Linked DNA regions of Xenopus tropicalis. The protein of the gene in region 2 purifies or fractionates together with the protein of the main gene of each other region. This does not show direct contact. Links are inferred from orthologs where the notes say so. Each region holds a gene or a part of one and is shown on either strand. Other genes may lie near its edges.

Evidence for each region.
Region 1: the proteins of med4 (region 2) and arhgef7 purify together in Homo sapiens (affinity purification with mass spectrometry; 3 studies listed by BioGRID and IntAct, with this or other methods). This does not show direct contact. The link is inferred for Xenopus tropicalis from reciprocal best matches to the Homo sapiens genes MED4 and ARHGEF7.

What each region holds. Positions count from the first base shown.
Region 1 is NC_030678.2:116,927,790-116,932,515, forward strand, and holds part of arhgef7 (rho guanine nucleotide exchange factor 7), read right to left. Parts: intron 1,449-4,726; coding exon 1,310-1,448; intron 4-1,309; coding exon 1-3. UniProt on the Homo sapiens protein: Acts as a RAC1 guanine nucleotide exchange factor (GEF) and can induce membrane ruffling. Functions in cell migration, attachment and cell spreading. Promotes targeting of RAC1 to focal adhesions. May function as a positive regulator of apoptosis.
Region 2 is NC_030678.2:134,873,945-134,878,670, forward strand, and holds part of med4 (mediator of RNA polymerase II transcription subunit 4), read right to left. Parts: intron 3,844-4,726; coding exon 3,777-3,843; intron 2,048-3,776; coding exon 1,877-2,047; intron 309-1,876; coding exon 251-308; intron 1-250. UniProt on the Homo sapiens protein: Component of the Mediator complex, a coactivator involved in the regulated transcription of nearly all RNA polymerase II-dependent genes.

The sequences.
Region 1 (4,726 bases), about 18 Mb from region 2:
GTCCTGAAACAAACAGGTACAAAAATAAACATCATACTTTTTTCTCAGACAAGCAGTAAAAAAGCATAAAGGGCCACAGCACCCTCAAATCTTCAGCACAAATGTTTGCTCAAAGCAGATAAATACTTACGCAAGAATACATGTATGGAATCTTTGTACAGGCTATAAGATAACCCAGGGAGTAGTGCTTGGTAAGAAGAGTTCAATTTACATCTTGTCAATGACCCCAATAATATAATGCCCCACCCCATAACCAACTGTCGACACCCCCACCTAGAGGGAACTATATTGCAATACAAAGAACAACATAGCTGCTGTGATTAATCAGACACAGTACTCCTCTAGCCAGTTTTATATTCTGCATTACTTCAGTCAATCAAGTAGAGTTTGATCAATCAAGTGGTTGGCCCTTAATAATTAGAAAGAAGGCAAACTGGAAGGACCATGGACTTTGTATATTCAAATTGCCTTTCTTTACCCACTAGGAAGGAAGTTGAAATGTTCTTGGTAAATACTGGTGTTTTACCTGTCACCCCAATAAAAATTAACAGATCAATACAAGTGCAGTCATTTCTCATATAAACAGAGAACAGATATGCCTGAACAGTGAGGCTCTAGTCATAGCCACTGAAGATTCACTGAATAAAATCAGTCTGACACTCTCTTTTCACATGGCACATACAGTAGTAAGGCCACAGAAATCAAAGATAAACTTACTTTTTTCCTTTAACTTGGCAATGGTATTGCGCCTCTAACTTTTCTATTTATGCAACAGTGAAGCAAAATGTGCAAAACTTAAAAGAGAAGTGTACTGACAATCAATTATGACGGTCCAGGGCAACTGCATTCTAGATTTGTTTGATTTATAAAAGGGAAGCCCACAATCAATAGTAGAGACCAATCAGATGAACATGAAAGTACAATTCTAACCATTTTTAGATTTATACTTTTTAAAATGTTATATATTTTATTGAAATTCAGTCAGCAGAAATCATTTCCTTAAATGTTTTATATATCAATCAGAGTAATGTTCCTTACAGTACCGTGATGCATTATGTTAATGCGCACTTTGGTGTTGGATTTATCCTAGAGGACATACTGCATCTAATACCTTTTTAGTGCAAGCTGCACAAAACAACACAGAATACTACAAACATGCCTGATATTAAATAATGTGATAAAGGAATATTTGCAGTGTGATCCACAAACAAAGCATTATTATTGCAAAAACACAATGAAAACAATTGTGCTTGTGTTTACAATATACAAGTCATTCTGATTGGCAAATAAAAGAAAATTCCTAAAATACCTCCATATGTCGTTCTAACTCTTTTAGCAGTGTTGGGTATTTGTCCAGACGCATAAATGGCTTACTAAGACCTGTTGTCAGTACAAGGATCCCTGGGCTGTTGGCACCTTTCATTTCCATGAATTCACCAAGTTCCTCACTATCAAAAGAATAATAATAAGAGAAGCAATCAGTGTGCATCATAACTACTGTTAACTGCATATAAAGTAGAACACTGTATGTATAAAGCATTAAGTAACTTTCTTAAAGAAGAGCACCAAAGAGAAGAAAAAACTTCTCCTGGAGTATGTTTCTGATGTATGGAGTGCACTCCTCAACTGGAATCTGAAAATGTCTTAGTCTGCTTCAACAATCTCCTTGTTTATTAGATTGACAATTGAGATAAATATGCAGTATATTATTATTAACATTTATTTATAAAGCACCAACATATTCCGCAGCGCTGTACAATAAGTGGGTTTCATACATTGGACATACAGAGTAACATATAAAGCAATCAATAACCGATACAAGAGGTGAAGAGAGCCCTGCCCAAAAGAGCTTACAATCTACAAGGAGAAAGGGTTGTGAGACGTGTGGCACAGGTTATTGCTTTTAGCAGCACACTGAGGTTATTTTAAACAAGATTAGGGTAAGCTTCTCTAAATAAATGCGTTTTTAGAGATCTCTTGAAGGCAGAGATATTGGGAGAAAGTCTGATTTGTGGGAGCAAATTCCAGAGAAGGGGGGCAGCCCTTGCAAAATCTTGAATGCGAGTGTGTGAGGAGGGAATGAGAGAGGAGTTGAGGAGCAGGTCAGTAGAGGAGCGCAACAAGCGGGTTGGATGGTACCTAGAGATAAGTTCAGAGATGTAGGTTGGGGCAGAGTTATGAACTGCTTTGTATGTGAGATTCATTAGTTTGAATTTTATCCTGGATGGTAGGGGAAGCCAGTGCAGGGCTTGGCAGAGTGGCATGGCAGAGGAGGAGCGGTTGGAGAGGTGTATGAGCCTGGCAGCAGTATTCATTATGGACTGGAGAGGGGACAGTCTTTGGAGGGGAAGGCCAATTAATAGGGAGTTACAGTAGTCCAGGCGAGTTATTATAAGAGAGTGAATAAGAATTTTGGCAGCATCTTGGGTGATAAATGATCGTATTTTGGAAATATTTCTTAGGTGAAAGTGACATGATTTGATAAGTGACTGGATATGAGGAGTGAAAGACAGGGCAGAGTCAAGGATAACCCCAAGGCTACGGGCCTGGAAAAATGGGGTGATGGTGGAATTGTTAACCTTTATAGATACCTCAGGAACAACGTGGGCATTGGATGGGGGAAAGAGAACCAATTCAGTCTTAGAGAGGTTTTAATTTAAGTTAACGTTGGGACATCCAAGTGGAGATAGCGGACAGGCAGGAAGAGACGCGAGTTAGAAGCTCTGGGTTGAGATCAGGAGAGGAAAGATAGATCTGAGTATAGTCAGCATAGAGGTGGTACTGAAAGCCAAAAGAATTGATTAATTTGCCAACTGAGGAGGTATAGAGAGAAAATAGTAAGGGGCTCAGGACAGAGCCTTGAGGAACCCCGACAGAAAGAGGCAATGGAGAAGATGATTCCCCATTGTAAAGGTGCCCATACACTATAAGATCCGCTCGCTTGGCGATGTAGCCAAGCGAGCGGATCTTCACCCGATATCCCCACCTACAGGTGGGCGATATCGGGTAGCAACGATCGGATTACATTTGAGGTTATGGGGCAGTCGGTTCGGGGACCGCATCAACGAGCCGATTCGGTCCCCAATCCAATTTCAGGCCAGATCTCGGTCGGCCAGGCCGCTCTGTTCTGCCCATACACGGGCTGATTAGCTGCCGAATCGGTCCAAGAGACCGATATCGGCACCTATAGTCGGCCCGTGTATGGGGGCCTTTAGAGACACTGAAGGATCGATCTGAGAGATAAGATGAAAACCAGGATAAGGCAGTGTCACGAAGGCCAAGAGAGGAGAGACTGGAGGAGAAGAGGGTGATCCACAGTGTCAAAAGCAGCAGAGAGATCGAGAAGTATTAGTAGCGAGTAGTGTTTTTTGGTATTAGCCGATAGGAGGTCATCTGTTAGTCTAAAACCACACTGTAGGGGATCCAGGAGGTTGTTGTCAGAGAGGAATAGTCGGTTGTAAACTAGGCGCTCGACCAGTTTGGAGATGAACAGGAGCAGAGAGATAGGTCGGAGGTTAGTAGGATTGGAGGGATCAAGGGAGGGTTTTTTCAGAATAGGGGTTACAAGTGCATGTTTTAGTTGGGATGGAAAGATTCCAGTAGAGAGCGAGAGATCGAATAGATGAGTTAAGGCTTTGATAAGACAGGGGTTGGCATTGCGTAAAAGTTTGGTAGGAATGGGATCAAGCGGGCAGGTAGTAAGGTGAGGGGAAGCCAAAAGTTTTGAGACTTCCTCTTCAGTCACTGGGGAGAAGGAGCCAAGAAGAGACTGGGTAGCATGTAGAGAGGGAGGGGAATGGTTATGGGTATTAAGTTGTGCAATGTCACTACGGATGGTGTCAATTTTATTTTTAAAGTGCTCTGCAATGGGTTGAGCAGTGACCGTAGCACACGGAGGAGGTGGAGAAGGGGACAGCAGAGTTAAAGGTAGAGAAGGTTTTTTAGAGAGGGAGTTAATGAGTGCAGTGAAGTAGGTTTGTTTAGCTTGGCAGAGGGTGATATTATAGGAGAGCAGAGCAGATTTGTAGCTGCAGAAATCTGATTCTGATCTTGATTTGCGCCAGTGGCACTCAAGTGTACGAGCAGTGTGCCAGGGTTGGAGTGGTTTGGGCCTCATGCATTTTGTCTTGGCAGGAGCAAGCTCATTAAGGGCAGTGGCGAGTGTGCTGTAGTAGACAGAGGTAGCCTGCTTAGGACAAGAGACAGTTAGGATGTTAGAATGAAGAAAGTCAAAGGAAGAAGAGAGGTGTGACGTGTTTAGGGATTGCAGGTCTCGGTGCATGTGCATGTTTGGGGGACAGCAGAGGGTGTAGAGGGAGTTAGCGAGAGTTATTGTGATCAGAGAGGGGGAAAAGGGGAGTTAGTGAAGTTTGAGATAGAACAACATTTCGTAAATATAAGATCCAGGGAGTTTCCATTGGAGTGAGAGGGGGAGGGGGAATCAAAGCACAGAGATAACCCAAAGGAGGATGTTAGTGAAAGGAGTTTAGAGACAGCAGGGGCATTAGGATTGTTAACAGGTAAGTCACCTAGTACAATGGATGGGGAATCAGAGGAAAGGAAGTAAGAAAGCCAAGCAGAAACGTTGCCACAGAATTGTAAGGTCGGTCCAGGAGGTCGGTATATGACCACAATGCGAAGCGAAGCAGGGGAGAGGAGCCTAATAGAGTGAACCTCAAATGAGGAAAATGAAAGAGAAGGTGGAGGGACTTTAAATGAATAGCGG
Region 2 (4,726 bases):
CAAAAATAGATGTATATTCAGGCCCAGACTGGAAATATTTGGATTCATGCAAATCTCAGAGGGGCTGCTGTAAGATGCCAGTCACTATTTGGTGGGCTGGGGAGGGGGGAAGCAGTTTGGAATCTGTGTACTTGAAATGCCAGTGCCTATTTTGAACCTCAGTGGGGGCCTATGTATGTTATATTGTTTTTTAGAATAATTCCTTGTGCAAAACTATGCCATTAGTTTCATGAAAATCTTCCACACTCACCCTTCCTTGCTTTATCTATTGATTTCAGTTTTTCCTTAGCTTGGTAGACAGCTGTTGCCTTAGGATAAAAGAAATAACACAATTTTAATTAAACACACTTTTTACAGTATTCTAATGAATCTAGGTATTCATATATAACAGAATATGAAAAGCATAACTCAGTACATTGAAAATCTAGTACAGGCATGACTGTAAGCTCTATGAGACAAGGACCTCTTGTCTCTGACACTTAGGGCTCTGGCACACGGGGGAGATTAGTCGCCCGCGATTAACTACCTGTTCGCGGGCGACTAATCTCCCCCGTGTGCCAGAGCCCTTAGCTCTTAGTCTGTACTGCAACTGTCCTATGTATTTGTTATTGTAAATACCCCTATTTGTTCTATTCATTTATTGTTCAGTGAAAAGTAGCACTGTATAAATAAAATTATACGAGGCAAAGAGAGGAGGTTAAAATTCCCACCAAGTGCTGAAGGTTGTAGTTCAACAACATCTGAAAGCCCTGTGTTTGACATCCACTAATATAGATGACCCCAACATTCAAAAAGTGATAACATTAGTAAAAGAAGCTTTATTATCCAAATACATGTATTTTTATTCTAAAGAAAGCTAACTTAGTGTTCCTTAGTCACAGCAATTAGTTTAGATAAGCTCCAAACAAAAACTGGTTTATATTGTCTGCATTCCTGACACTGACTTCTGAAACAATATAGCAGAAGCCAACTGAAGCCTGGACCTAAAAAATAAATGACTCTTGATACATTTTAAGAATCAGACCCAAAGAACAGCAAGAAATAAACAAATACAACATTCACCTGCAATAAATATTTGTAAAACCTTTATTTAATTAATTTATATTTTAATTGCTTAAATTACATTTCCTTTTGTTTTGTAAAAACAGTTTTTGGGTAGAGAATCCCTCTGCTAGCTCCAATTAAACAGTGGTTTTAATGCCATGTTGTTATGATAAGTGGTGGAACACGTGATTACTTTTCAGCTTAGGACCTGAACTAAATTTAGTTTTTAAAATGAGAACGTATATACTTAACTACCCCTTTACTGACACCTTGTGGAAACGTGCAGTTAGATTAGTACTGTATTTTCCCCAGATTGCATGGCATTATTTACCAATTTACCTTAGTAAGGAGATTTTTATCCTTGAAAATGCACTTGTCATTCTGATAATATGACACCATATTCCAGGATGGAAAGAGGCATAAATGAATTATTTAAATAAGAAAAAATAACACAGAATCAAAATTTAAATTGTTGCCGTGGTATCTCAAAGTGAGTAGAGAACTCTCTTGCATTGTGGATTACTGGATTGTCTGCTGTGGAGTTATTAATAAAAGTGTTGTGTCAGTCCCCTAATAGCTGTTGCATTGCTAATACATAGGAAAAAGTACTTTTGGTTCAAGACAACCCATTTCCTGAAGCAAAGTATAGCAACACTGGGGACCAAGATACCTAAAAAAACAATACAATAATTATTACTCAGTTAGGAATAAGATTATTACTCAGTTAGGAATAAGCACGGAGGTAAAAATTTCTACTCAGAATCAACTCATGCTTGTTCCATATAAGCAGACGACAAAAAGCTGCCAGCAGTTGTTTATTTCTAGAGCTTACCAATATGTGTTCGGCTTCCTTCAGCTGTTTCTGTAGTTGCTGGATATCACTGTCCCTCTTCTCCACCTCTTTTTCTAAAACCTGCATTTCTTGGTGAATCTTCCCCTGGCTTAATGCCACTTTCATTAGTTCTTGGAATTCCCCATCCTTCTGAATTAGTAACTCTAAAATCTGACAAAAACAGACAGAATTGGGTACTGTGATAAGTTACCTGAGAGAGATAGGGTAATGCAAGGATGAACAACTAACTACTAAAAAATGCATTTGCCTGTTATGTAATACACATCGTAAACAATGTATTTTACCAAATAAATGGGGGAATGTAATAAACAGTCTCAAGTCTGCATTTTGTCTAGTAACCCAGAGCAACCAGTCAACAGATAGCAGATATTTACTGGTCAGTGGTATGAAAGCATCTGATTGGTTGCAGTTGGTTACTAGGTGTGGGCAAACTTTAGACCTTTTATTGCATTACCTCTTAAGTTGCTAATTTGTAACTTCATATATTTTATTTATAATATAATTATATATTATTATAATTTTCATTTATAACATTGCTTCTGATAATACTTGCTATCTACCAGGTCAGTAAATTTTATTTCCATGCTGTGTATCTACTAAAATCATGAACAGAATCACAGAATGTAACTACTCCGTAAGACTGCCTTGTCATACACAACAGAGCATGTCTCAGTACATACTTTCTGCTGCTGCTCCTCCTCTATCTAGACTTCACACACTGTACCACAGAAGGCACTCTAATCCAGCAGTTTGCAGTGCCTTACCTGAATTTCCTACCAACCCTTCTATTCTTGCACTCGTTCACAGACCAGTACAGCAGAGTTCTGCATTTAGTACTATCCAGGAGGAATGTACCCCCCGACAGCATGCTCAGTTACCTGCCCTCTGAACCTAGCTATATTTCAGCAGAGGATTTGTGTGAGGAATACTATTAACTAATGTATTTTAAAACAGCATTGGTACCCTTGATAGTATTCCTTTAAATAAGGGATGCCCACATAACAGCTATTCCTCCTTCATGGCAAATATCTGCATTGTGGGCACTAAGGAAGGGGGGGGGGAGATTGGGGGGTTTAACACATTATACAGCAGGCTTATTTCAGTGGGGCATGCAGTAAATAGTAAGCCATAATACAAATAAAAGTTACATTTGCTGGGCACTGTTGCCATTTAAAAGGAGAGCAAAAAAGCCATTACCATAGCTCACTGCACAGAGGGCAGACAGAGTCAAATGCAACCTATTGGTGTCTATCAAATACTGCTGGGGTTGTTATATCCAACTAGGATGAGGAGGCACAGTATCTTTCCTCTTGCCACATAGATGGATTATTGCCACATTTTGAATTGAAAAGAAAGAATACCTATAGATTTAGATGAAAGTATAAGCTATTTAGATAGTAAGCTCTTGTGAGCAGGGCTGTCAAATCCTATTTCATTCGATAACTTGTTTGTTAAATTATTATAAGACCCCCCCCCCCATTTGTTATAATGTTTAATAATAGAATTATGTTATCATTGCACTTTATAAATGAATAATTATTATCATGATGATGCTTAATTTTATGGTATATATACAACTAAAAATAGGGAGAGAAGTCGACAGGCTCAAATGATTATTTTTACTGATAAAAAAGGAATTACAACTTTTCAAATATAAATCATATTTATCATATACAGTTAGATCATATTTCATCAATATGTAAACACTGCAAATTGTCCTTTATCTAGTCATATCCCTTTGACTACATCAAGGCTAGCAATATGTCAATTGCATATAAACGATGTAACATATGTAAAATTAATAGTAATGCAATCAACTGTTTTGTAGTTATATTCATTCTATAATCTGTAAATCAAAACTGCATATCTACAGACTCACTTGGTTCTCTTCACCAGGTTGGCTGAGCTTCTGGTTCCTTGAAAGTGCAAGCATTTCAATAAGTTCTCTGGAACAATATCAACAGGTTTCACATCAGTAGATGCTTTAAGTTAATTCTGAAGTATTCTGCTAAAGATAAGTGGGTGTTAACTGAAACCAGATATACACACCTGATTGCATAGACTGAAAGAAAACCATGACCGTCAACCCCTTTCTTACTTTGTTCCACTGTGTAGTGATGGATTCTGGTAATTGACGTCCTCCTGCTTTCCAAAGAATCTGTGCACCACTCACAATGGAAAGTAGGGACTTTCTAGTCCCAGAATGCTTCACTGCACAATGGAACTAAGTAAGGTAGGGGTTGCATTATGATGCGAGACTGGATTTTCTAACCTGGCCGACCGATAGCTGGCCAATTTCAGGCCAGCTATCGGTCGGCCAGCCCACTCGTTTCTGCCCCTACACGGGCAGATAAGCTGCCGAGTCGGTCCAAGGGACCGATATCGGCAGCTTCTATCGGCCCGTGTATGGGGGCCTTAAGTGGGGTTTGGAAATGATTTTATACAAGTCAAGATAGATTATCATGGTTTCCTTTCAATCTGTGGAATCAGGTATGTGTAAAAAAATATATATTTCTGAAAGTTTGGATAGTGTTTATGCACATTTTTTACATAACCCAACTAAATGACTTCATGTCCAAAATAGGGGAAGAAACCAGGGGTAAACCTGCCAGTTTCCAGTCATAAAAAGACCCCAAATATAAGAGGATCTAACAGCCAGACAAAATATTTGACTTCCAAAATTGTGGTTTCCTGTGTCAAATGATAGCTTAAAGAAGAATGAAAGTTAAAAATCACTGGGGGTGCCAAATGTTAAGCAGCACCCAGTGATGATAATCACTTGCCTGATACCATGGGCTGGTGCTCCTGTGTGTGAAAAACTGTTCTGGC